Linked DNA regions of Oryctolagus cuniculus. The protein of the gene in region 1 purifies or fractionates together with the protein of each later gene. This does not show direct contact. Links are inferred from orthologs where the notes say so. Each region holds a gene or a part of one and is shown on either strand. Other genes may lie near its edges.

Evidence for each region.
Region 2: the proteins of RPA2 (region 1) and ATRIP purify together in Homo sapiens (affinity purification with western blotting; 5 studies listed by BioGRID, with this or other methods). This does not show direct contact. The link is inferred for Oryctolagus cuniculus from reciprocal best matches to the Homo sapiens genes RPA2 and ATRIP.

Annotation. Positions count from the first base shown.
Region 1 is NC_091438.1:143,728,614-143,738,954, forward strand, and holds part of RPA2 (replication protein A 32 kDa subunit), read left to right. Parts: intron 1-65; coding exon 66-167; intron 168-289; coding exon 290-403; intron 404-4,561; coding exon 4,562-4,636; intron 4,637-5,485; coding exon 5,486-5,602; intron 5,603-10,341. UniProt on the Homo sapiens protein: As part of the heterotrimeric replication protein A complex (RPA/RP-A), binds and stabilizes single-stranded DNA intermediates that form during DNA replication or upon DNA stress.
Region 2 is NC_091441.1:100,604,464-100,615,279, reverse strand, and holds the start of ATRIP (ATR-interacting protein), read left to right. Parts: upstream 1-5,578; 5' UTR 5,579-5,684; coding exon 5,685-6,012; intron 6,013-7,555; coding exon 7,556-7,686; intron 7,687-9,940; coding exon 9,941-10,111; intron 10,112-10,816. Other genes in the region: TMA7 (translation machinery-associated protein 7), read left to right, coding at 1-53, 3,055-3,089. UniProt on the Homo sapiens protein: Required for checkpoint signaling after DNA damage. Required for ATR expression, possibly by stabilizing the protein.

The DNA.
Region 1 (10,341 bases):
GCAGGTGTTAAATGCGTGGTCATCACTATACTTTTAGTTGAATTTATGCACACGTTGCTTTGCAGAGAGCCCGAGCCCAGCACATTGTGCCCTGTACCATATCCCAGCTGCTTTCTGCCACTCTGGCCGATGAAGTTTTCAAAATTGGGAATGTTGAGATTTCACAGGTATGTGAAAGAATTTGTGTAAGAGTCGATCATATAAAGAATGAAATGACTTAATTTAAAAATGCATATGTGCTGCTTTGGTTTCTTGAAAGATAAAGTTGTTTTTTTTTCTCCTAACCTAGGTCACCATCGTGGGGATAATCAGACATGCGGAGAAGGCACCAACCAACATTGTTTACAAAATAGATGACATGACAGCTGCACCCATGGACGTCCGTCAGTGGGTCGACACAGATGTAAGAGGCTGTTTTTGATCAGGGTAGGGTTACTTTGGGACTTTGGAGAAGATGCACTTTTTAAATATTACCTTTTAAAATTTTTAATAAAAAATAATACTTAAGTGAGACGTCAGAGGCAGAAGCCCTACTGTGATGCATTAATATATTTGATTCCATAAAAGTTATTTTATTTATGTATGTGTTTATTACTTATTTTATTTGAAAGGCAGAGTTACAGAGAGGCAGAGAGAGAAAGATCTTCCATCTGCTGGTTCACTCCCCAAATGGCCGCAATGGCAAGGGCTGGGCAGATCCGAAGCCAAGAGCCTGAAACTTCTGGGTCTCCCATGGGGGTGCATGGGCCCAAGGACTTTGGCCATCTTCCACTGATTTTCCAGGCCATAGCAGAGAGCTGGGTCAGAAGTGGAGCAGCCGGGACTTGATCCAGTGTTCATATGGGATGCTGGCACTGTAGGCAGCGGCATTATCCACTATGCCACAGTGCTGGCCCCTTCGTAAGAGTTTAAAACCTTGGCCGGCGCCGCGGCTCAATAGGCTAATCTTCCGCCTGCGGTGCCGGCACACTGGGTTCTAGCCCTGGTCGGGGCGCCAGATTCTGTCCCGGTTGCCCCTCTTCCAGGCCAGCTCCCTGCTGTGGCCCGGGAGTGCAGTGGAGGATGGCCCAAGTGCTTGTGCCCTGTACCCGCATGGGAGACCAGGGAAAGCACCTGGCTCCTGGCTTCGGATCAGTGTGGTGCGCCAGCCGCGGCGGCCATTGGAGGGTGAACCAACAGCAAAGGAAGACCTTTCTCTCTGTCTCTCCCTATCACTGTCCACTCTGCCTGTCAAAAAAAAAAGAAAAGTTTAAAACCTTGTAAATTTCCCAAAATACTAAAAAGGCAAGTGACAGGACACCGTAGAATGTAAATTCCAAGAGAACAAAAATTATTTCTTTGATCACCTTTGTATTCCCAGCACCTAGAACACCTAGAATAATGTCAGTGACATAATTGGCCCAGCCTGACTTAGTAAATACTGTTTACTGTTTATATGAATGGAGAAAATATTTGCAACAAATGACAAACATTTTAAATATTAACTAAAAATGCTTACAAAGTGAAAAAAAACACCCACAATTGCACCTTAGGAAAATGGACAAAGAAGTTTTAAAGATCTATTTATTTATTTGAAAGAGTTACACAGAGAGAGAAGGAGAGGTGCAAAGAGAGAGAGGTCTTCCATCCGCTGGTTCACTCCCCAGTTGGGCGCAACGGCCAGAGCTGGGCTGATCCGGAGCCAGGAGCTTCTTCCAGGTCTCCCACGTGGGTGCAGGGGCCCAAGCACTTGGGCCATCCTTCACTGCCTTTTCAAGTGCGTTAGCAGGGAGCTGAGGCTCGAGCCTGCCTTCGGATGGGATACTGGCACTGCAGGCAGCAGCCTAGCCTGCTGCACCGCAGCTTTGACCCCGAGATACGATTTTTAATTCATTGTATTGGCAAAGAAATTTCAAAGAATGACAGTGTCAGGTTCTGGTGAGAGCAGCATAGTGCCTCTCGCACTTAGTAGGCACCTAATATGTGTTGAATGATTTGCCATTGTTTAAGGAAAAATACCATTCTACCCCGATAATATAAACAAGAATTGGCAAACCCTTCCTCAAACATCCTGTGTCAAAATTTTCAATGATTAAAATGTTGAAACAGCAACTCTACTTCTAGAGTTTTATACTGACATAATTAAAGGTGCATTCAAAGATTCACTTCTAAGAATGTTGATCATGGCCAGCGCCATGGCTCACTAGGCTAATCCTCCGCCTGCGGCGCCGGCACCCCGGGTTCTAGTCCTGGTTGAGGCCCCGGATTCTGTTCCGATTGCTCCTATTCCAGTCCAGCTCTCTGCTGTGGCCAGGGAAGGCAGTGGAGGATGGCCCAAGTACTTGGGCCCTGCACCCGCATGGGAGACCAGGAGGAAGCACCTGGATCGGTGCAGCAAGCCAGCCGTAGCAACCATTTTGGGGGTGAACCAATGGCAAAGGAAGACCTTTCTCTCTGTCTCTCTCACTGTCTAACTCTGCCTGTCAAAACAAAACAGAACACAATGTTGATCATAATGTGTTAATGAAAAATTAAAAGCAAAACCAAAATGCTAGCAATAGGAGATTATTAAGTAAGCCATGGTTTATTTATACATACTGCAAATTATTTAGAAATGTATGTATCATCACAAAGAAATATTTACTGTCAATTTGAGAAAAGGAACGTGTTGCAAGATGTATGTATGTATGTATGATTTGACCTCGTTTTTGTAATGTAATGTGTATATGATTGTCTATAAATACGAAGAAAATGAATTGAAAGAGAAACTGGCGTTGTAGCACAGTGGGTTAACTGCCACCTGCAATGCCGGCATTCCATAGTCTAGTGACGGTTCAAGTCCCAGCTGCTCCACTTTCTTTTATTTATTTTTTTAAGATTTATTTATTTATTTGAAAGGCAGAGTTACAGAGAGGCAGAGGGAGAGAGAGAGTCTTCCGTCTGCTGGTTTACTTCCCAGATGACCTTAATGGATAGAGCTGGGCTGATCTGAAGCCAGGAGCTTGGAGTGTCTTCCAAGTCTCCCACGTGGATGCAAAGCCAGGGAGTTGGGCCATCTTCTGTTTTCCCAGGCCAAAGCAGAGAGATTGGAAGTGGAGCAGCTGGGACTTGAACCAACACCCTTAAGGGATGTCAGCTCTACAGGTGGTGGTTTTACCCGCTACACCACAGCACTGATCCCATGCTGCACCACTTCCTATCTAGCCCCCTGCTAGTGCATCTGGAAAAGCGGTACAAGATGGTCCAAGTGCTCGGGCCTCTGCCATCTACGTGGTATATCTGGATAGAGTTATAAGCTCCTGCCTTTACCTCGGCCCCGCCCTGGCCATTGGAGCCATTTGGGGAATGAACCAGTGGATGGAAGATGGAGCTTGCTTGCTCTCTCTCTCTCTCTCTGTCTTTCTCTCTCCCTCTCCCCCTGTAGCTCTGCCTTTCAAATAAATAAATCTTATGCAAAAAAAAAAAAAAAAAGAAGAAGAAGAAGAAGAAGAAAATGAACTGAACTAGAAACTAGAATATATGTTAGTGGAGTGGACATTTGGCACAGCAAAATAGCTGCCCCTTGAAACTGTGAAAACAGTTTCTGTAGCTTACCTTTTTCACTTTGAAAAGTTTTTCTTAGTCCCAAAGTGTTTTTTAATTGTCTGTATTTCTATCTATAATGTCTATGGTTTTTCTTTTTTGTAAGTCATTCCATGTATTTGGAGTATATATGGATAAGAGGAGAGACACAGCAATCCAGCTTTATTTAATTATTTATTTATTTATTTTTAATTTATTTGAAAGCCAGAGTTACAGAGAGGGAGTTTGAAAGGCAGGGGGAGAGAAGTCTTCCATCCACTCCTCGAATGGGCGCAACGGCCGGAGGTGGGCCAGGCCACAGACACAAGGCTGGCCCGCAGTGTTCTTATTTTTAAATGCGTGCACTTTATTTTCTAGTTTTCCAAAGTCATATAAACATTATGTGCATATTCTAGGAAGAAGGAAATATTAAAGTTGTTTATAATTATCCTAGTTAAGCACTGTGAACATTTTGGTGTACATTTTCCCCCACTTGAGAAATCAGCATTTTCAAAGTGTTACAGCTGCTCTTCTCAGACAGGGAGTAGAATTGTGCGCAGTTTGCAGCAGTGTGGAATATTGCATTATATGAAGTGTCCTTTATGTTGGATATTTAGGTTGCTTTAAAACATTTAGTAATCTAAACAGTATTCTGATAACTTTGATGAATCTGAATTTTAATGCATGTTCTTAATTATTTCCTTTAATTTCTAAAAGTGAGTTGCTTTCCTAGCACACATGTCCAACAGAAAACAGTGTACCTGAGAACGTTGAGTGAGGATGTCACAATTGTTTGCCCTTTATGAAAGATGTACATAACATACAACTTTGGAGCTGGGAATTATTTTTAGAGAGGTTTTTGCAGCTCTAAAATGAGGTAAACTAGTTATTGCCGTATTAGGGTCCTTTAGCTCTTTACTTTGTAACTTTCTTATTCTGTACAATATTTAGAAATTTTAAAGAGGCTGTCTTTCATTAGTGCCCTGAGACCTTTGTGACATGTTTGTATTTCATCTGTTAGGACGCCAGTGGGGAGAACACCGTGGTTCCTCCAGAAACATACGTGAAGGTGGCTGGTCACCTGAGGTCTTTCCAGGTAAAGGCAATGAAAAGGCAGTTACAGTGGATTTGTATGAAGTGGCTTCTAGGTTTCAGATATTTAATACTTAATTAAGTTCCATTTTTAATGGGAAGTTACTTCATTATTCTCTTCTTCAAAAGGACAGAACTGCTTTGTACTTTAATATAAAAGTAACAGGATGATAGAGAAAAAATAGAATCTACCTACAATTGGCTGGCGCTGCGGCTCACTAGGCTAATCCTCCACCTGTGGCACTGGCACACCGGGTTCTAGTCCCGGTTGGGGCACTGGGTTCTGTCCCTGATGCCCCTCTTCCAGGCCAGCTCTCTGCTGTGGCCCGGGAGTGCAGTGGAGGATGGCCCAAGTGCTTGGGCCCTGCACCCCATGGGAGACCAGGAGAAGCACCTGGCTCCTGGCTTCGGATCAGCGCGGTACGCCAGCTGCAGCACACTGGCCGCAGCGGCCATTGGAGGGTGAACCAACGGCAAAGGAAGACCTTTCTCTCTGTCTCTCTCTCTTACTGTCCACTCTGCCTGTTAAAAAAAAAAAAAAAGAATCTACCTACAATTGCCATCTGTGGCATCCATAAAGGGTCAAAGAGAGAATTCTGAATTGCAGTCCAGATACTAGACTCTGCTTGGTTGTGTGAGCTTGGACAAGCCATGAACATCTCTGAGCTCATTTGACTTCTTCCCTCATTATTGACTATATTTGAACCACCCTGAGTTGAAATTTTTAAGTATATAACAGACATTTTCCCCTGATTGGCAAAAATACCATGACCCAAAAGCCACAGTGTTTTGACCTGAAATTCTCTTGAATGTGTTCAGCCTTAATTCTCCTTTTTCTCTTTATTTTTAACAGAACAAGAAGAGCCTGGTAGCCTTTAAGATCATGCCCCTGGAGGACATGAACGAGTTCACTGCTCACATCCTAGAGGTGGTGAATGCGCACATGATGCTGAACAAGTCACACAGCCAGGTGAGCGAGCGCACACGTGGTGCTGAACAAGTCCCGGCCAGGTGGCAGCTGCCCGGAGCAGAGGCTGCTGTTCTGCGCTGGCTGTGGTGCCTTGACATCGTGACGGCTGGGCCCGAGGAGCATCTCCCAGTCCTCAGACCTTTTCTCTGTGAGCCTCGCTGTTTTTATTCCCGATGAAGCACTCACGTTGCTTAGAACCACGGGTTCCTCTCACCTGTTGGCTTGGGTGGCTGAGGCCTAGCACAGCCCTCAGGTATAGACAGGTAACTACAGGCTGCACTGCTAGCTCCAGGAGTGTCAGAACCACGAGTAGGATGCCATCTTACTGCTTTCCTGCCAGCCTGTTGGCTGAAGAGAAACATTGACCATTATATTTTCCCCTGAAATTTCTCCTGTTATTTTCTGTTGTGTGAATTCACATTGGCAAATCTGTCTAGGACCACACAGAGGGTGATTCTAGTATTAGAAATTCCCAGAGGATTCGAGAAGCCAGTGGAGGATTGGTTACATGGGAGACAGGAGAACTAATAAGCCAGTGACAGGGCTGTTGCCACCTAACCTTTGCTAAGCATTTGGGATACAGAGGTAAACTCGTTTGTTTATGTATTTGAATAACACTCATGGAGCCTACTCTGGGCCACTCACCATTCTAGTCCTTCGGGATGCAGCAGTGAGGTAGGCAGAGGATCTGCTCTCAAATTCCTGTTCAAAGAAGCAGGCAAGAAACCAGAGAATGCATGTAATTACAGGTGGGTAGGTGCTCAAATAAAGCTGCAAGACAGTGATGGCAGGAACAGGAATGCTAAGATTTAGGGGCTGGCGTAGCACAGCAGGTTAAGTTGTCACTTAGGACCAGCATCCCACATCAGAATTCAAGTCCCGGCTGCTCTGCTTCCAACTCAGCTCCCTGCTAATCTTCCTGGGAAGGCAGTGGGTGATGGACCAAGTATCTAGGCTCTTGCCATCCATGTGGGAGACTCAGATGGAGTTCTAGGCTCCTGGGTTCAGCCTGGCCCACCCCTGGCCATTGCAGGTATTTGGAGAATGAACCAGCAGATGGAAGATTTCTTTGTCTCTGCTTCTCCTTCACTCACTATAACTCTGCCCCTCAAATAATAAATCTTTAAAAATGTGGAGGGGAAAAGGGAGAGTTCAAAAATGACTCCTGTGTCTGGGGCTTGAGCAGCTGGATAAAGCTAGCAGACTTGGAGGTAAAATGCAGAGTTCTGTTTTGGACCTTGCAAGTGTGAGATGCCAGTTAGACAGCCAAGTGAGCAGCTGAATGTATGAGGCTGGGGAGAAGTCAGGGCCGGAGAAAGAACAGTAGGAGTCATTGTGTGGGGGTGATAATTTAAAGCCTTGAATGATGACGTAACTAGGGAGTTAAGAGGGCGGAGACCCTAAGTGCTGGGACACACAAACCTTTAGAAATCTAGAAACAGTAGGAGTCGTTGAAAGTCAGAGAGGTTGCTGCTTAGGCAGCAGAAAACCAGGAATTGTGATTCTGTACAATATTCTGGAAAGATCGTCTCATGAAGGAGAGAACGGAGATAGAGTGTTGAATGCCGCCTGGCACCCAGTGAGGTGATGAAAAAGGTCTGTCCTGGCATCTGGACGTGTGGATCTTCTCAAAGACTTCAATGGAGGCTGGGAAGGGGGTTAAAGGGAACGGGATCGGCTAGAAGTTTAAAGTGTTTGTTTTATTACATATGTTAGTGATGCATATTATTTGATAAAAATGGTTTTGACCTGAGAATGGCTGGTTAGGGAGTAGAGGCTACAAGTGTACTTAGAATATTAAAGGCAAAGAAAAGAAGGTGATTCTTTCCCTCAGAGGGGGCTACATTACAAAGTGGGGGTTGGGACACCCAAACAGTGGAAGCGTTGATAAGTTGGCCAAGTGCGGGGTGCTGTGGAACCACAGAACAGGATGTCCCATCCTGGCCTGGACACGTAGAAAGGCTGCCTGGAGAAGGCGATGCCTAAACCAAGTCTTAGGGCAAGACTGGGTATGAGCTGAGACCATCTGAAAGGGGGAGGGCGGTTGTCATGTTGGTGAAGAAATTTGGGTAAGAAACAGAATCCGGCCGGCGCCGCAGCTCACTAGGCTAATCTTCCATCTAGCGGCGCCGGCACACCGGGTTCTAGTCCCGGTCAGGGCGCCAGATTCTGTCCCAGTTGCCCCTCTTCCAGGCCAGCTCTTTTGTGGCCAAGGAGTGCAGTGGAGGATGGCCCAAATACTTGGGCCCTGCACCCCATGGGAGACCAGGATAAGTACCTGGCTCCTGCCATCGGATCAGCGCGGTGCGCCGGCTGCAGCGTGCCGGCCGCAGCGGCCATTGGAGGGTGAACCAATGGCAAAGGAAGACCTTTCTCTGTCCACTCTGCCTGTCAAAAAAAAAAAAAAGAAAGAAAGAAAGAAAAAGAATCCACTCAGTATTACTAGATGATAAAATGTAGAGTCCTTGGGCCAGCGCTGTGACATAGCAGTTTGAACCACCATCTGCAGTGTGGCATCCCATATGGGTGCTGATTTAAGTTCTAGCTGCTCTGCTTCTGATCCAGCTCCCTGCTAATGCTCCTGGGAAAGCAGCAGAAGATGGCCCCCGCACCCACATGGGAGACCAGATGAAGCTCCTGGCTCCTGGCTTTGGCCTGGCCCAAGCCATTTGGAGAGTGAACCAGCAGATAGAAGATCTTTCCCTCTCTCTCTTTCTCTCTATAACTCTGACTTTCAAATAAATAATGAAAAAAGAAAGAAAAATAAATAAATGTAGAATCCTGTTTCACCAGCAGGCAGCATGGAAGCATTTAGCTTTGACCACAAGGGACAATGGTTGATTTTTACTTTTTTTAATGGTACAAAGACAGAAGGCATTTATTTATTTATTTTTAAAGATTGATTTTTTTTTTTTGAAAGAGCTATACACAGAAAGAGAAAGAGGCAGAGAGAGAGCCGTCTTCATCCACTGGTTCACTCCTCAACTGGCTGCAATGGCCAGAGCTGAGCCGATCCAAAGCCAGGATCCAGGCGCTTCTTCCGGGCCTCCCACATGGGTGCAAGGGCCCAAGGATTTGGGCCATCTCCTGCTGCTTTCCTAGGCCATGACAGAGAGCTGGATCGGAAGTGGAGCAGCCAGGACTTGAACTGGCCCCCACCTTTTTTTTTTTAGGATTTATTTATTTATTTATTTGAAATTCAGGGTTACAGAGAAGCAGGGGCAGGGAGAGAGAGAGATCTTCCCTCCACTGGTTCACTCTCCAGATGACCGCAATGGCTGGGGCTGTGCCGATCAGGAGCCAGGAGCTTCTTCCCAGTCTCCCACAAGGGTGCAGGGACCCAAGGACTTGGGTCATCTTCTGATGCTTTCCCAGGCTATAGCAGAGAGCTGGAACTGAACTGGAGCACCCGGGACTTGAACTGGTGCCCATATGGGATGCTGGCACTGCAGGCAACGGCTTTTCCCACTGCTCCACAGCGCTGGCCCCTGAACACTTCTTAAAAGAATCTCCTTACTGGCTAGGATTTCTCTTCTCCAGCACTCATGCATCTGCTTTGTGTTTTTGGGTTTTTTGTTTGTTTGTTTGTTTGTTATGTTTTGTTTTGTTTTGTTTGACAGGCAGAGTTAGACAGAGACAGAGACAGAGAGAAAGGTCTTCCCTCCGTTGGTTCACCCCCCGAATGGTCACCACGGCCAGTGCACTGCACCGATCAGGAGCCAGGAGCCTCCTGCCAGTCTCCCACGCGGGTGCAGGGCCCAAGCACTTGGGCCATCCTCCACTGCCTTCCTGGGTCACAGCAGAGAGCTGGACTGGAAGAGGAGCAACCGGGACAGAATCCGGTGCCCCAACCGGGACTAGAACCTGGGGTGCCAGTGCCGCGGGTGGAGGATTAGCCAAGTGAGCCGCGGCGCTGGCCCCACTTTGTGTTCTTAATGTATTTGACCCGTTGTCATTCTTGCTGGTTTAGTATTCAGTTCAATAGCGTGAACGTTGACCGCCTGTACTGTCCGTCAGACACTTTGCAGCATGCAGGGCTCTGTGTGGAAAAGGACACACAGCGCGGGACAGCGGGTGCTGTGATAGGGAATGGGCCAGGTGCTGAGAGCCAGGAAGGAAATCGGTGACTAACTTGGCTTGGGGAGCGTCAGCAAAGGCCTGACAAAGAACTTGGAAGGATAAGGAGTGTTTCTCAGGTGGATGAGGGGAGAGTGTTAGGAAGAGTTGCAGATTGGTTCCTCCTCACACGAGGTGCGGAATAGAGAGGAGGCAGTGTACGAATTTACAGCCAGACCGAATTTATTCAGAGAAAATAAATCTGTAGAGGTGGGTGACCAGTTGCCCATGTGCACACTGATGGCCCCGCCCCAGAGGCCGGGCCTTTTTACATTTTAGGAGGGCTGGGGGTGGGGGTGGGGTAGTGGCAGCAGGCAGAGGGGAATTCCTGAAACTGGTCTTTCCCGTGACTGGGGGTGTGGGTATGAAGACAGTAGGATGAGACCCATTTGAGATTCAAGGGCAAGGAATATATTCCTATGTGCATCTCCTTTGGGCAGCGAGGGAGAATGGCTGAGGCTTATGTCCTTGTCCATCAGAGAGCGTCTCCCCAGACAGGGAACAACATGTTGAGAACAGAGGCGAGTTTGAGGGTGGCAAGAAGTCAGGCGCAGCTTGGGAAAGTGTGGGAGAAGTCAAGAGGAAGTACAGAGTGGACTTGAGTCTTGCATGTCTAGTCTGTT
Region 2 (10,816 bases), on another chromosome or scaffold:
GCAGAAGAAACTCGAGGAGCTAAAAGCGAAGGCGGCGGGGAAGGGCCCCCTGGGTAAGTGAGGCCGCGGGGGCTGGACAGACGCGCTGAGCACCTGTTGGGAAGAAGGCCCGAGCAGGTCTGCGTGCTGGCCCGTTGGTCGGCTGTGGGGTCTCGGTTCCCGGTGACGGACTTGGAGCAGCGGGAAGGGGCAGGAGCCAGAAGCGGGACCAGAAAGAAGTCTCTAGTCTGGACTCCCATTTCTTGGGGAAGCTGTAGAAACACAGGAATTTACCGCAGACACAGGTTCATAGCATTAAATTCCTACGACTTCCCGTCCCAGATCTACATTTTACTACGTCTTCAGTGCTGGTAACATGACTCGACTTTGAACATTCGAACTTACTGCTCATGTTGTCTCTTAACAAGTGCTTTTGTGTCTTGAGTGAACTTCTAGACCAAAAGGTAAAAAGTCTGGGCTCCTTGGTGGACTGTTCGATCTGCTTTCCTAAGCTAGCTCTCCACCATTTTGCCACTTCTTTTCCTTTATAAAAGAGGAATTGATTACATTTCAAAAGATTTTCCAGAGTTCCATTCCCTGGTTCACTCCCCCAAATGCCACACGAAGAGCTGGGGATACAATCTCGATGTCACCCTAGGGTGGCAGGGACCCAGCTGCCTGAGCCACCACCACTGTCTCCCAGGGTCTGCATTGGCAGGAAGCTGAAGCGGGAATCCAACCCAGACACTCAGGTGTGCGATGCAAGTGTCTGACCACTAGGCTCAGTGCCTACTCCGACTCCTAATGTTTCATTAGCTGCTTTTGTTTTTGAAGATTTATTCTATTTATTTGAAAAGCAGAGTTAGAAACAGAGATCTTCCATTTGCCAGTTCACTCCCCAGGTGGCCACAATGACCAGGGTTGGGCCAGACTGAAACCAGGAACTAGGAGCCTCTTCCAGGTCTCCTATGTGGGTTCAGGGGCCCAAACACTTGAACCATCATCCGTTGCTTTCTCAGATGCATTAGCAGGGAGCTGGATCAGAATTGGAGCAGCTGGGACTCTAACCAGCGCCCATATGGGATGCCGGCATTGCAGGCAGTAACTTAACCAGCTGTGCCACAACACTGGCCACCTGTTAACTTCTTCTTCCTTTTTTTTTTTTTTCCTTAAGATTCTTTTATTTGTTTGGAAGGCACTTACAGAAAGGCAGAGGCAGAGAGACAGAGATCTTCCATCTGCTGGTTTATTCCCCAAACTGTCACAATGCCCCAGGCTGGGCCAATCCGAAGCTAGAAGCTAAGAGCTTCCTCTGGGTCTCCCACTCGGGTGCAGGGGCCCAAGGACTTGGGCCACCTTCTACTGCTTTCCCAGGCCATAGCAGAGCTGGATCCGAAGTGGAGCAGCCAGGTCTTGAATCGGCGCCCGTATGGGATGTGGGCACTGCAGGCAGCGGCTCAACCCACTGCGCCGCAGCTAGTGATGATTTCCTTGTTCAGCGCTGTCAGCCGCCCTGGGCATGGTGGAGGCAGGGAGGGAGGGAGTGTTGCCAGGGCTGCCGACACCTTTGTCCCAGTGTGTTTGATCCAGTATTTCTCACCCATACAGTGCTGAGATTCCTTTTCAGAATGAAACAACGTTTCTTGTAGCTACCCTTGACCTGTGATTCTGTATCAGGAAAAGGTCAATCCTTGGTAAGCCTATGCACGCTGAACATCCCTAATTCTAATAGCTGAAACCTGAAATGCTCCAAACCCGACACTTTGAGCATCGATATTATATCACAAATGGAAGATCCCACACCTGGCCTCATGTGACAGGTCACAGTCAAAATGCAAGTGCACTAAAAGTACTGTATAGGCGCAGGCATTTAATAGAGCTGTTAAGACACCACTTGGAGTACCTGGAGTCCATATCAGAGTGTCTGGGCTCCAGCCCTGGCTCCATTCCCAGCCCAGTTTCCTGCTGTTGTACACTCTGGCAGGCAGCAGGTGATGGCTCAAGGACTTGGGTCCCTGCCACCAAGGTGGGAAACCTGGATTGAGTTCATTGAACATCAGCTAACTTTGAAAGCTTTATTTTGTTGTGGCCCTTTTTGTATTTTCATTCCTATATTAGGCATCTTTCATTCTCTAATTAAGTTGCTTACTGGGTGCAAAATACGTTGTCAGTTGTAAATTGAGTACTGTAAATGTGGTGAGTGACTGAGATGCCAGGATCATAACATGGAAGGTAATAGATGGTGTAGTGTAATGTGGCAGTTAAGAATATGGACGGGGGTTGGACTCGCAGTTCCTGCTTCCTGCTAGCGTAGACCATGGCCGGCAGCAAGTAATGACTCAAGTAATTGGGTTCTTGACACCCATGTAGGAGACCTGAATTGACTTCCAGATCCTGGCTGCGGTGGGCGTTTGAGGAGTGAACTAGTGGGTGGGAACTCTGTGTCTCCATCTCTGTCTGTCTTTCTGCCCCTTAAATGAATGAGTGAACATGGACTTGGGAGTTAGACTACCTGGTTTGGAATCCTGGTTCATCACATGCCAGCTTATTACTTTGAACAGTGCCTAACACAAGACCTGTAGGGGCTGGCCCTATGGTGCAGTAGGTTAGTCCTCCACCTGCAGCACTAGCATCCCATATGGGTGCCGGTTCTAGTCCCGGTTGCTCCTCTTCCAGTCCAGCTCTCAGCTGTGGCCTGGGAAAGCAGTAGAAGATGGCCCAAGTGCTTGGGCCCCTGCATCCACATGGGAGACCAGGAAAAAGCACCTGGCTCCTGGCTTCTGACTGGCACAGCTCTGGCCATTGTGGCCATTTGGGGAGTGAACCAACGGAAGGAAGACCTTTCTCTCTGTCTCTCCCTCTCACTGTCTGTAACTCTACCTCTAAAATGAGTTGTGGCATGGAGAGTAAGACCAGAACAGAAAGCTGAAAGGCCACTCTGCATCTTTTTGTCAAGATAGACCCCCAGACTGAGAGCCACACTTTACCAGGGTCTACATCAGACCCATGGGACTTCTCCCATAGGAACGGTTTCTCTCTAACGGGATTTTTTTTTTTTTTCCTTTCCTTTTGCAGCCACAGGTGGAATTAAGAAATCTGGCAAAAAGTAAGCTGTTCCTTGTGCCTGAAGTGATGACGCCCTTGATTGCATTCCTAGCTAAACATCTCGATTCCCGGCCATAACATCTTATGCCACCGTAGTTAGAATGAAGTGTTAAGAGTTAAGTGTTATCTTGGAGCCTGTTGTACATTTACAAATAAAATTTTGTAAAAAGGGGAATAAACTCCACTGTACTGTAGCTCACTGTCTTAGTTGTTTTCACTCAGCCACTCCCAGCTGTGAATTTAAAGTAAACCCAGCCGAGAACCCTTCCAGAGTCTGCTCTTTGCTCTCCAAATTCTGTGTCACCTGGAATTAAACCACGGCATTGGAAAGGCTGTAGCTCCTGTGTGGTTGTGTACCTGACAATACCTTACATGAGATTTGTGGAAGAAGTACTTGGGAAGGAAAACGTGGCTCCTCTTTCTCTGCTACAGTACGCACGTGTGCTGTGTGTGGCCACCGGGCCAGTGCCAGTAAACAGCCAGCGTCAGCGAGCAACTTCCTGTCGTGGGAGGGGGACAAGACGAATACAGGAGATGTGCACCGTGAAAGGGGAAAGAAGGGAGTGAGATTCCTGAACGTCTCTTCAGTATCAGACTCCCCCAGAAGCCCTAGGGACAACATTTGCACTAAGGTCCTTGCTGGGGTCCCATGTTAGACCTCACATCCAGTCCATGAGCAAAATCAGATTACCTTAGTGTCCTCTCAGCGCCATGTGCCCACTGCAGCTCTGACCCTTCACCTGTATGACTGCAGTTGCCTCCAGAGTTCACTCGGGTCCAGAGCGCGCTTGCTGAACCGTGAGTCATACTTTGTTTCTTGGCTCAGAGTTAGCAACGCCACAGTGCAAAGGGGTATGGATGCCACTGCCTTATATGCATTACCCAGCCCCCGGTCCTCCTCAGCCAGCGGCTTGAGGCCAGCTCCCAGCTCCTTTCCACCTGCACGTTCTCATAGATGCTGAACACTCCCTGTATTCCTCAGAAGACCAAAACTCCGCCATCACAATAGTGAGCTCTCCTGCTAACAATGAGTTTGCAGTCAGTCCCATTGTCTTTATTTTTCTCTCCCAGTTATCTACCATCTCTGACTAAAATGTAAACGTTAGGACAGTGACCATAAGGTGTGCTAAATGTGGAGGTACTCCAAAGTCTGCAGGAAGTGGGAGTTTATTTTGGTGGCAAAATATTTTGAAGCCCATGATAGTCACATGTATTTATTGTATCACTTCAGAAGCACAAGTGCAGGCCATTGATGCAGCTATGGGACTAAAGCTAAGCTTTCTCTGAGGATGTCCTCAGAGAGGCTTGTAGGCTTGGCCAGGTGAAAACTGGAAAAGTGACAGATTAAACCCTGTCCTGTGATTAACGTAGTCGATGGTGACAGGGTGCTTTGGTCCTCTGGGAAGTTGCACAACTAGCAGCTCCTCTGGGCTGCAGAACATTTCCCATGGGGCCTTGCAAGCTGGCACCCCGCAGTGTGCTGTCAAAATCAGTCCTTGCACCGCCCGTGAGAGCACACTGCCTCTGAGAGCAAGTCGCTGCTCTCTGGCAGAATCTAATCCCTCCTGATGGGTGATCCTGTCTTTCCAAGGCCAGAGACCTACAGCAATTAATATGGAAGCATTCGACATTTGTGCAGCCGAGTTTCAGAAAACACGAAAGCCTTCTAGGACTTGACAGCAGTCTGCCCTCACAGGTATTGGTAGGAGACTCAGGCTCAGTTTGGCACTGAGTACCCAAGGTTTAAGAATCTTGCTCCTGTTACTCTCCGTGCCAATCTCCCCTGTTCAACTGCTCTGCGCACCGCAGCTACCACTCTGGGAAGCCTTACTGTCTGCCATAGATTACCAACACCTGGCCTGCCTTGGGTGGGGAATTCTGCGCTAGCCTTCTACCCCTTTATCTTGCTGTCTCCCACCTGACAACCTGTAGGACAGCCCAGGTGCCACTTCGGGGGGGGGGGGGGGCTCTTCCTTGACCTGACCCTCACTCATCTTTATACAACCAGTGCTTGTGACAAATATGCTCCAGCAATCTCCGAGAGAATGAATGAATGAATGAATGAAAGAAGTCTGAGCACTTCCCACACGGATGGTTCTCCTTGGACCTGTCTTCCCGAAACCTACCTCAAATGCCACACATTTCACACTCCTCGCCTAATCTCCCTAAAGGAGCCTCGGAGTATGTGATGGAAAGAGGCAGCGAGCTCTCGGGGGCCAGAACCCTGAACTCTGCCTGCCTCGATTCAAACGCACAAGGGTGACTGTCAGGGCGAACTGTCCCCCGCAGTTCTGTGCTCTGCTGGGCGCCAGGCAACCTCGAGGTTTCCCCGAAAACCCCCGGCGCCGGAGCCGGGCTCAGCTGGGCGGAGAGGGGCGGGGCGCCATCGACACTGGCGGGGACTCGGCCGAGCCTGGCGGCGCGCTCGGAGAGACGTCATTTCTCCGCGCTCGCGGGCCGGCAGCTGATTGGCCCGTGGGGTCGGGGGCGGTGCATAAGAGGCTGAGGCGAGTGCCGGCTCGCGGGCGGTTGGCTCGCCGGCGGCTTCGCGCTGCCGTGTGGGATTTGGCGTCTTCAGATGCTTGGGGCCGGCTGGAGGCATGGCTGGGACCTCCGCGCCGGGCAGGAGGCGGAGCGGGCCCGCAGCCCCTCGCCCTAGCCCGCTGCCCTCCACTGGGCACCCCCCAAGCAAGCGGGCCCGGGGTTTCCCTGAGGCCGCCGCCCCGGACCCTGAAGACCCGTTCGGCGAGCACGGAGACTTCACCGCTGACGACCTGGAGGAGCTCGACATCCTCGCGTCACAGGCCCTGAGCCAATGCCCGGCCGCGGCCCGGGACGTGTCCAGTGAGTGCCCTTCCCGGCCTCTTCCCCGGAGGGCAGTGCAGACCGCACCACATCTCCTTGACCGCTGTGGCTTCCGAACTCCAGGCGAGCGCTGCCCCAGTGTCCTGAACTAACACTCCCTTAACCTTCTTAAAAATACAGTAACGCCCCGATTGGAGCAGTTGGTTGTGTTCCAGGAGCTCCCTCGATTTGGGGGAGAAATGCATCTGGAATATCACTTGGAAATATAGAAAGCTAGGTTGACTTTTTTTTTTTTTTTTTTTTAAGTTAAGGCTACTCGGTTCTTAAAAGGTTCTAAGCAGAGATCCGTGGAACACATCTACCGGAACCATGGCTACCCACGTGCGAGTCTTTAAATCTGAAGCCCTCGTGCCCCTTAGCATGAGCCTAGGAGGAGCCTAGCAGAGGCAACAGATCAAAAATTTATTCTTAGACAAGCTTAATCAGCGCCACATGCAGCCGGCCTACCAATTAACAAAATAGGGCACATCCTGCATGGCGCTCGCTCCGTAGTTGAGTCTCATGCGGCTTCCAGAAAGGTTTCCGGGACATCTTGCCTCTGTAGTTGTTTGACAGGCATCTGAAACTCAACACGGTAATGGTCCGGAAACCCAGGCCTCCTGCAGCGTCTCCCGCGCTATTCCCGCTCGGCAGACTTGGAGAAGACACCTGTGATGACCAGATGCTCCCCCCGGCAGACTGTCTTCCGCCTTCACCCTACCTCTCTTTCCTTTGCCAATCCTGCCCACTTCCTGGGTCTGTCTCTGGACTCCATCCTGTTCCCATGGTCTCTGAACTCCCTGAGAGTCCGCCCCTGCACGAGATTGCTAACCTGGCTCCCCATTCCCTGTGCTGACTGCCTGCAAGTCAGACTTCACACTACAGCCAGAACGATCCTTGCAGAACCCACACTGGGCCATGTCGCACAGACAAATGTGAACATAGCTGCCGGACGTCCTTTAATAACTTCCCTCTGCTTCTAGAATGAAGACCTAAACCCTTAACGTGCGTGGTCTGCCCCGACTGCTAGCCACACTAACTTTGCCTCGTTCTGTGATTGCTCCCTGTTTGCTTCTAATACAGGAACTTTGCACGTTGCTCTTTGTTACACACTGACTGTTCTTGCTAGCCATCTGCCCTCAGGGTTCAGTCCGGCTTGTCTTTGAACCACAGCTCCTGAAGGCTTCCTGAGGGAAGCCTTCCAGTCACTGCGTTTGGCTCAGATGCCTCTTAGCAGAGGCTCTCCTCACGGTTGTAATTTAACATTTATTTGTGTATGAAGACTGTATCTGTTGTGTTCCCCATGCCAGCTGTATTGGCGCTCAGTAAATACTGCTAAATAACGTGACACCGAGCTCTGGCCGGTGAGAGCCCCTCACCACCTCTCACCCTTCAGTGAGACTTGAAATCGGGTGAGGATATAGACAGGGTGAAAAGATCCACTATTTCCTAAGTATCATTTATGAGTTTGAATCCTCCTCTTAGGTTGGGAATTCCCTATATGTCTTGCTTATAGAACTTTCTCTACTTTGCTCTCAAGATTGATTCTTTTCAGCATTTTCTAGCAAAAGTAGGAAAATGTTGGGTGCTAAATTATGTATGGGAACTGTTTTTTCTTTTCCTACAGGTATTCATAAAGTTCCCAGGTTAGATGGGATGTCAAAAACTCCAGCAGGGAAAAACAGAGAAAGTGTACCTGTTAAAGATAATTTTGAGTTAGAAATACTTCAAGCACAATACAAAGAACTAAAAGAAAAGGTAAGTAATTTAACCTGTGGTTTTTGCAGTTAATTCATTCACTTACGTGTTAGAAGACATTGTACAATAAAAGATAAAAATATGAAGGTTTTTAAGAGCATAGATTCACAGCTACAAAATGAAGAACACTGGGGAAAGAAAGCCAGAACATTTAGGCTGAAGAATTATAGATTGTGAGGTTGCTTAGAGCTAGGCGAGAAGAAAAAATTATGGGAAAGGTATTTGGCACAGAACTTTAAGATGCTACTTGGGGCCGGTGCCACGGCTCACTAGGCTAATCCTCCACCTTGCGGCGCCGGCACACTGGGTTCTAGTCCCATTCGGGGTGCCGGATTCTGTCCCGGTTGCCCCTCTTCCAGGCCAGCTCTCTGCTGTGGCCAGGGAGGGCAGTGGAGGATGGCCCAAGTGCTTGGGCCCTGCACCCCATGGGAGACCAGGAGAAGCACCTGGCTCCTGCCATTGGATCAGCGCGGTGCGCCTGCCACAGCGCACCAGCAGCGGCAGCCATTGGAGGGTGAACCAATGGAAAAGGAAGACCTTTCTCTCTCTCTCTCACTGTCCACTCTGTCAAAAAAAAAAAAAAAAAAAAAAAAAAAGGCTACTTGGGATGCCCGCTTTCTGTATCGGAATGTTTGATTTAAATCCCAGCTCTGCTTCTGATTCCAGCTTCCTGGTGAGGCACACCCTGGGAAGCAGCAGATGATGGTTCAAGTGCTTGGGTCCCTGCCACCCATGCGGAAGACCCTGATTGAGTTCCAGGCTCTCAGCTTCAGCCTGGCCCAGCTCTAGCTGTTGCAGACGTTTGGGGAGTGAACCAACAGGTGGAACATCACTCTGTCACTCTGCTCTTCTAATTAAAAAAAAAGTTTTTTAGAAGGAAAAGAAACATTTTATACTAAATCCAAGAAGAGATAAAATGAGAGATGAATTTATGGTATGCATGTTTTTTTAATTTTATATTTAAATAAATTTTTTTAATTTACTTATCTGAAAGGAAGAATTACTGAGAGGCAGAAGGAGAGGTCTTCCATAAGCTGGCTCACTCCCCCAGATGGCCACAAGGACAGAGCTGTGCCAGTCGAAAGGCAGGAGCCAGAAGCTTCTTCCTTGTCTCTCACATGGATGTAGGGGCCCAAGTACTTGGGCCATCTTCCACTGCTTTCCCAGGCCATAGCAGAGAGCTGGATCGGAAGTGGAGCAGCCAGGACTCGAACAGGCACCTGTATGGGATGCCAGCACTGAAGGTGGTGGTTTTACCCCCCATGCCACAGTGCCGGCTCCTAAATAAATTTTTAAGAAAAGTTGTTTGAAAAGGCAGGATGACAGAGGGTAAGGTAGAGTCTCATCTGGGACTCCCACGTGGCTGGCAGGAACCCAAGTGCTTAGCTATTCTCTGTATCCCAGAAAGATTAACAGGAAGCTGGGTCAAAAGTGTGGTGCTGGGAAATGAACCCTCACACCAGTGTGGGATGTGGGCATCCCAAGCACTGGCTTAACCTACTGTGTCACAGTGCCCACCCCAATAATTTTTTTTTAAAGATTGATTTATTTAGTTGAAAGACAGAGTCACAGAGAGGCAGAGAGAGAGAGAAAGGTCTTCAATCCACTGGTTCACTCCCCAGTTGCCCACAATGGCTGGAGCTGCACTGATCTGAAGCCAGGAGCCCAGAGCTGCTTCTGGGTCTCCCATGTGGGTGCAGGGGCCCAAGGACTTGGGCCATTTTCTACTGCTTTCCCAGGCCATAGCAGAGAGCTGGATCAGAAGTGGAGCAGTCAGGACTCGAACCGGCACCCATTTGGGATGCTGGCACTGCAGGTGGCGGCTTAACTCGCTATCCCACAGCACACACCCCCCTCCCCTTTTTTTAAGATGTATTTGTTTGAAAGGGTTGGAGAGATCTTCCATCTGCTAGTTCAGTCCCCAAATGCCCACAATAGCCAGAGCTGGGCCAATCTGAAATCAGGAGCCAGGAACTTCCTCCAGGTCTCCCACATGGGTGCAAGGGGTCCAAGGACTTGGGCCATCTTCTGTTGCTATCCCAGGCCATAGCAGAGAGCTGGATTGGAAGTGGAGCAACCAGGACTCGAACTGGCGCCCATATGGGATGCCAGCATTGCAGGCAGCAGGTTTACCCACTATGCCACAGTGCCGGTCTCCCTGTGCTTTCTGTATCTCCCCAGCTGTAGATTAAAACAAAGTGTGTAAATAACTTTACCGTACAGACTTTTCACAAGATTAATGTTTAATTTACAGCTGAAGGCGATGGAAGAAAAAGTCCTCATTAAGAATGGAGAAATTAAAATTTTGCGAGACTCGCTGCATCAGACAGAATCTGTTCTAGAGGAGCAGAGAAGATCCCATTTCCTTCTTGAGCAGGAGAAAACCCAAGCCCTTAGTGACAAAGAAAAGGAATTCTCCAAGAAGGTGAGCAAAGCATTCCTTGAGAAGCAAGGGCCGGTGTTGCCCAGGGAGGTTTCAGCACGTGCTGTGGTACACACTTTGGTGCTTTTAGCTAGTTGTCCCGCAGATGTTCTTCCGTGGTGTGCATGTAGTCAGGAAAATGACTTAGATGAAATGCCACTTGGCCCTGGTAGTTGGTCTTAGCAAGGCTAAACCCCTGATTTAGAATGTCTAGAAGCAGGTAAATGAAGGCTCTTGTAGTGGGTTAGAAACTTACTTGACCTAGTGTAGGCGAAAAGGGAATGTATTGGCTTCCGTAATCGAGCCTGGGGGAAACTGGAATGTCTTCAACCTTGCCAGGACACAATTTCATGGCCTGTGCTCTAGAGAGGCTCCCTCCTGGGGCAGAGGATGTGTTCTCCAGGAGCTGCCGGGCTGACTTCCTAACTCCAGTGCAGAGTTCAGACTGGGGCTCCCTTATCTGAAGGCTTAAAATTCTGAGGAGGCCTGTGATAAACCTAACTTGAGTCAGGTGCTTGTCCCTGGATGAGCTGATATAAGCGCAGAGATAAAATCTGCCACTGCAGTCACGCAGAGGTTGAGAGGTGATTGCTTCTCAGGGACAAGGAGACACTGTCCTGGGAGAGAGAGCAGTAGGCATCCAGTGCAGACCTGCGCTGCCTTCTGCACGTGCTGATGCTTCAGGCCCACTCAGGAGCTCTCACTGCC